Linked DNA regions of Bombyx mori. The protein of the gene in region 2 binds, or shares a complex with, the protein of the main gene of each other region. Links are inferred from orthologs where the notes say so. Each region holds a gene or a part of one and is shown on either strand. Other genes may lie near its edges. The genes, in order: DNA-directed RNA polymerase II polypeptide and general transcription factor IIH subunit 4.

Evidence for each region.
Region 1: general transcription factor IIH subunit 4 (region 2) and DNA-directed RNA polymerase II polypeptide share a complex: the UniProt entries of both Homo sapiens proteins name them as parts of the TBP-based Pol II pre-initiation complex. The link is inferred for Bombyx mori from reciprocal best matches to the Homo sapiens genes GTF2H4 and POLR2C.

What each region holds. Positions count from the first base shown.
Region 1 is NC_085131.1:5,448,016-5,451,015, forward strand, and holds DNA-directed RNA polymerase II polypeptide, read right to left. Parts: upstream 1,497-3,000; 5' UTR 1,386-1,496; coding exon 558-1,385; 3' UTR 527-557; downstream 1-526. Other genes in the region: L-threonine ammonia-lyase, read left to right, coding at 2,977-3,000. UniProt on the Homo sapiens protein: Core component of RNA polymerase II (Pol II), a DNA-dependent RNA polymerase which synthesizes mRNA precursors and many functional non-coding RNAs using the four ribonucleoside triphosphates as substrates.
Region 2 is NC_085125.1:212,605-216,440, forward strand, and holds part of general transcription factor IIH subunit 4, read right to left. Parts: intron 3,030-3,836; coding exon 2,957-3,029; intron 2,878-2,956; coding exon 2,770-2,877; intron 425-2,769; coding exon 341-424; intron 170-340; coding exon 1-169. UniProt on the Homo sapiens protein: Component of the general transcription and DNA repair factor IIH (TFIIH) core complex, which is involved in general and transcription-coupled nucleotide excision repair (NER) of damaged DNA and, when complexed to CAK, in RNA transcription by RNA polymerase II.

The DNA.
Region 1 (3,000 bases), on a different chromosome or scaffold from region 2:
TACTGCTGTGTATAAAGTGACAAATGTTTTAATTGATTATGTATACATAATAATAAAACAATATTGGTTCTAAGTTTCTATACTTTTATGAAAGTTTAACTACTTAAATTAATATGTACAATGAATTAAACAGAAATTATTGTAACATTAATTTTTTTGTCCATATCTATGTATCAGAAAGTAAAATTTCCTTTTTTATTTAGTAGCTACTGAGTATCTTCTTAGGCAAAAAGCTGCAGATTATTATTAAATCATATGTTTCTTGTGATTACAAGGCCGTAGTATTAATTTGTGTTTAAAGTTGTATTCATGTTGTGCAAGTTGTGTATAAACCTCTTAATTGCATTCCACAAGTATTACTAGTTTTTGATGTGAAACAGAAACATTCACTTTAGTATGATTTTTTCTCAAAAAGACTGCAGACTGAAATACTGTGTATAACATTCTAAGCTTTTGAAAAATGAAGGCTTATACACACCATAAGGTAAAATGTAAACTTAAATTACAAAAACATTTATTATCTAATTAAATTTATTGTAATATTAGATTTTATGAAATCAATTAATTGCTAAGGCATCATTTTGTGCCTCTTGCGCTAACTGCACTTGAAGATTCAGTAATTTGTTTTTCAGTACAACTATTCCCATTAATACAATATTCTCTGGTTTAAGAGCTCCTGATGATTCTACATTATAAAAGAATTTGTTTGGTTTCGCTTCCCAGTTGAAGTCCGCCTCATACTGATCTTCATTAAGTTCAGTGTGCTCGCTTTTGGGCCATTCATCTGGTTTTGGATATAACGTATGTCTCATTATATTATCAGGGTCATATTCAAAGGACACACCAGCAGTTGGATTCCATTTTGCATGCTCTTTCCCAAAACCTTTTTTTGCATATGCCCGAAGCTTCAATTCCTGACCCTTGCGTAACTTAATGATCAATATTTCATCTGCTTCACCATAATCGGCCTGGTCTTCATCTCTATGTCGTGATGTAACAGGGACAACTCTAGGATCGCTCGATTTCAAATCAGCAGTTGTTACATGTCTTGTTTGTTCATCTGTGCATTTTACGTCTAATGTAAATTCGACACTGCATTCGGAACAAAAATCAACACACATGCAATCACGCGAGTACCTGATTTTGTCTACAACGTCGTCTGATATGAGCGGAATGAGACCGATGCGGTGTGCTAAGAATTCATCGCTCAAAACGGTGGAATTAGCTTCTAACTGTACCCAATCGATGGCCATTGTTGGTGTTTCAGCGATAAATACGCGTCTCATACTGTTTGCTACGCTTAATTCGGTATCTTCCACAACGAATTTTACATTTTCATCAGATAGTTCTGTTATGTGAACAGAGGGTTGATTTGCGTAAGGCATTTTCTGTTTCTTAAATCTAATTTAATGAATTAGGTTTCTTTTTAATGAAACTAACACCATCTAATATATAACAAAATAAATAACGAATAACACTTCCAAACAATCAACTTGTTAGCCAAATTCTAACCTCTGTGCTTGTCACATATTTTTTGTTTCATTTACTACACAGACAAAGGGAACGAAGCTCATACAACCAATTTTTTTGTAATAAAGATGTTTAACCTTGCTGGTGAATGAATGTAAAATGGAACTAAGCTAACCTTATGTATCATCATCATCAACTTATAGTAGTTCAACGCTGAAAATAGGCCTCTCCAATTGCCGAGCACGATCTTCAGCTTCTCTCACTCATTCTTGCCAGCCTTATGTATGTGTTGAATGAACTGAAATGATGTATATAACGTTTCGGTAAAATGCTGGAAATTAACTAAGAGCTCAATGGAGTTTTTGGAAGAAGCCAGTAGACCTGTAGTCGTCGTGGCCTAAAGGATAAACGTCCGGTACATTCGTATCTAGCGATGCAACGGTGTCCGAGTTCCGCAGGCGGGTACCAATTTTTCTAATGAAATACGTACTTGACATATTACATCGTGTAATAAAAGTCAAACCCGCAAAATTATAGTGTGAGTCCGGACGGGTAGGTACCACCACCCTGCCTATCTCTGCCGTGAAGCAGTAATGCGTTTCAGTTTGAAGGGTGGGGCAACCGTTGTAACTATACGGAGACCTTAGAACTTATATCTCAAGGTGGGTGGTGCATTTACGTTTTAGATGTCTATGGGCTTCAGTAACCACTTAACACCAGGTGGGCTGTGAGCTCGTCCACACATCTAGGCAACAAAAAAACCAAAGATGCCACATCCTGCGGTTAACTTTAATTTTCCCACTCTTTTCATCAATTAATTTCGGTAATTAAAATATGACTATAACGAGACTTCTTGTAGTTGTGGCTATGTAAATAAAGGACAACTAGGTTATCTTCGACATAAGCTATGTGCAGTGGCGTAACGATCTAAACTCGCGTGGAAACTCCCCTTTTTTCCTTTTTATTTACGAATTAACATTTATTATAGTACATTGGTACTAAATTAAAAATATATTTTTTAGAAATCAATTATAAAAAAAAAATCAGCAATTTTTTGTTTTGCGGACCATTTGGCGCCCCTTTGTGAATAGCGCCCGGGGCATGATCCCCCCTTGCCCCCCCTCGCTACGCCACTGGCTATCTCTATAAACCAAATCACTAAAATATATTCATATGTATTAATATTCACTAGAATATTATTAATTACGCAGTAAATAATGATTGTCGAGTTAACGTACTCCGTTGTTCCTTATCATTTCCAATTATAAACAACATTCAGTTAATAAATCTGTAGCTTGGCACTTGTGTTGCCAAATTAACTGTTACAAAATATATTTTAATTGGAACTATACTTGTACTGTAACTATACTTGAGGCCTTAGAACTTGTATCTCAAGGTGGGAGGCGCATTTACGTTGTGGATGTCTATGGGCTCCAGTAACCACTTAACACCAGGTGGGCTGTGAGCTCGTCCACCTATCTAAGCAATAAAAAAAAAAGTTTTTAAATGGAGCGTTACAAGTGTGAGCCC
Region 2 (3,836 bases):
GGCCGAGCAGCGCGACCTGCAGGTCGGAGGAGGTGTAGCCGTACACGCGGTAGTTGGTCTCCAGCACGAGGTGTCCGCGCGCGCCGGCGGCGGCCTCGAGCGGCGCGGCGCAGCGCACGCGCAGGATGTTGAGCGCGAGGCGGGTGGGGTAGAAGCGGCCCGCCTTGCGCTGCGACACACGGCAGAGGTTGGGCCCGGTCCCCGCGCGCGGCGGACCCTAGTCGCCACTCGGACGTCCGGTGTCCGCCCGCCCACGGTTGCCCACAGACAGACAGTTACAATGCCATATAGTGTGGCGCGGGGCAGCTCCGCGACGCCCGAGTGGCGCGCAGATACCGACCTTCCTCTGGTAGACGAGGCCGAACTCCCGCAGGTGCTGCAGGAACACCAGCATGTTGTTGCTCATGCCCTCCGTGCTGTAGTCCTGCGGACGAGACGCGCGGCACTCTTTTATTTTATTCTTATATTAAAATAAAACAGACCTCATCTATCTATTTTTGTATGATATTAAATGAGCGTTGAATTACAGAAAACCAATTTTTAATGAAATATTTTAATAAATATTAACTTGATCAATACATTTCTTTTATAAAATATGCTTGACCTCAAATGTCATCACGATTGAATTCATTCAAACAGATACTTTAAGTTAATAATTTTCCACATACCACATATACTCTGTGCTGTATCTGTGCTCTTTGTAAGGCTCAGATATCAATGACTTTTTAGCGGGAACGCGAGGAGTGAAGTTGTGTGATTTGTTTTATTTTGTCTATTTAGTGTTTCTTCGGGTTTAAATGTGTAATAATGGTGGTTTATTAACTGTTTAATATCTGTGAAAGTGCACAAATGTGGGAAAATGAAACAAAGCTGCTGGACGTAACTTCTCGGGTTCCTCCAAAAAGTCCACTGAAAAAATCTCAGTAAATGACCACCATTTTACTGCGATTATATTTCATCCCATATCATTTCATTTCATTAAATTTCATTTCATCCCAGTTGATTAATGTCTCAAATTAATCATATTCATTTCATTTCACTCCATATTATCATTTTTCATAAAATTAAGAATATAAAGTAAAATAAGACATGACTTAAAGGTCTCGGTTACTAGGTCATAAAATCTCTTAAAAAAAAAACAGATATCAATTTTATTACAGTCTTACTGATAATTTCAAAACACTTATATAATTTCAACTCTAAGCGTGAACACTTTTAGAACTTGTCCATCCCGCAGTATATTACACACATTACATATATTACATACAATCCGGACACATATTCAGAGATGTTGTATCGTATTGAACATTTTCAAATAATTATGAAGTGGATGGGAAAAGGCCTCGGGGGCGCTTCCCGATAAGTTGGTCCGACCAGATCCGCACCGCTCTTGATCCCACACTTCACAACGCCCTCCACACCGCCAGAGACAAAAATAGTTGGAGAAAGGTCATGCGTGCGAAGGTGATACAGAAGGGTGGTCGCGACCCTCAGCAGTGAGAGGAATACGACGCAAGAAGGAGGAGAATAAAAAAATAACTATATTGTATATTTTAAAAAGCAATTAGAATATATTTTTTAAATTGATGATATTTTTAAACAAAGTCCGATTTGTATAGGTACTCGCGAGTTGTGGGCGTAATGAAGTCTGCTCTGACGTACATTCCCGCGTGTTCTAGTGTCAGTGTAACAGTGCGGGCGGCGGCCCCGGCTACTGGACCATTGAGCACGTCGTTAACGACATTGAGGCAACAGACAGCGCGGGATAAGCCGCTCAAGTAGTTTGAATGATTGTGTTGTTCCGGCGGACAGCGCGCAGGCTCCGAGTGATAACGATACGGTACGGAACAGGTTTTTTTGAAGTGAAAACTTGGGAAGCAGAAATCGGCAAAGTGGTGGTACCTACCCGCGCGGACTCACAAGAGGTCCTACCACCAGTAATTACGCAAATTATAATTTAGCGGGTTTGATTTTTATTACACGATGTTAAGTCAATCGTGAACATTTGTTGAGTACGTATTTCATTAGAAAAATTTGTATCCGCCTGCGGGATTCGAACACCGGTGCATCGGTCAGCACGAATGCACCGGACGTCTCATCCTTTAGGCCACGACGATGAAATTAAAAAGCGACTTTTTTTGCTTACCTGGACTTGTAGCCTTGGGAGGCTCTTTCAGCTTCTCCTTGACGTGTAGGTGAGCTCACGGGGCTTAACCGGGGGTGTTGCTAACACTGACCCTAGCAAGAGCAGTGCTTCGCAGAATCTACTACCGGATCGGAAACGCGTCCCACTGAGAAGATCCGGCGAGTCCGGCTGTGTCTATGAGTTAATTCACTCGTTGAGCCCTTCGTCGCAAGCGACGGGTTCAACGAGGACGGTGACCGGTGCTTGAGGTACCTAAAAGCACCGTTAATGGATCGGGAGGATCCAAAATGACGTATTTAGGGCGACTTCGACTATTTACTATTCGGTCTACAGGATCGGGTATGTAGTTCCCAGCGGCCACGACAAGAGTTTTCATGTCGGGCCACCTTTAAAAAAGCGACAGTAAAAAGAGACTGACACATAAATTCTTAAGATTGAATAATATTCATAAGGTTTATATTATGGGTATAGTTCAGATTCATAAGATTTAACGCATTGAAACGGATGGCAACAATTACGTTGTTGTTCTTGTCTATGAGTTCTGGCGACCAGCGGGCGGTCGTGAGCTCGTTCGTCCATCTTAGCAATAAAAGTTTAACATTGGAAAAAATGATTATAGTCACCTTCCCCAGGGTGCTGAAGCTGAGCTGGTAGAGGAAGGCCAGGCACTCGGCGGCGCTGAGGCTGCGGCGCTCGGCCGTGTGCAGGTAGTGCTGCAGGAACAGCCACACCTGCGCACACACACGCGTCACACCCGCCGCCCCGCGAGGGCCGGGCTGGCCGGGCTCATCGCTCAGACACTGAACCGACCTGCTTGGGTGTACTCAGGAGCAGAAACTGGAAGCCGGCGCGAGTGATAACGGCGGACCCGTCTTCTGCGTCTCTGAAACATTACACGACCCGGGTGACGTCACACACTAGGGACGCGGACGGAGGAGGATGACATTTCCCACACTTATAGGCTGCGTTCCACTAAGCGTTCACAACGATCACGCTCACGACCGCAATTTTTTCCGTTCCACTTGCTTGTGAGCGTTACTGTCGTAAACTCAAGTGGAATGGATTTTAGAGTGTTTTGAGCGTGGAGTCCAGGTAAATAATACAAATGCCGAGTTAATAAAAAGATTTAAGAGGTTAGGTTATAATCTGTAAGCCTTGAAAATTAACCTTACTTATTATTGTTTAAATCGATTTATATTGAAAAAAATTATACATAATTTAATTTTTATTTAATATTAGTGGCGTATTTAATTAATTTACTTTCAAATGTAATTAAAATGTCTTTTGCGGCGGCACTAGGATATTTGGTAAGAGGTCGCAATAATGCTCCTGTGTGCTTAGTGCGAGTTTTTTAACGTTCTCGATAGCGTAAAAGTTAAGCCAATTCTGTATGCAGTTTGAACAGCGCCCCTAGCGGCAAACGTACGTAAACGATTCCATTCCTTACAAATATGAGCTAACTTTTACGCTATCGAGAACGTTAAAAAACTCGCACTAAGCACACTGATAGTATCTCTTTCCGCATGAAATAACGTAAGCTTAAAGGTCGCCATTTTTGATGCTTTGAGTTTTGAAAACGCCGCTAATTTTCTCAACGATCACTTCGACCCACCTTTTTAGATGGGTCGTCGTGAGCTTCGCGTGAGCGTAAGTTATGACGTCATAAGTGACGTTTTCGCCACGACCACAA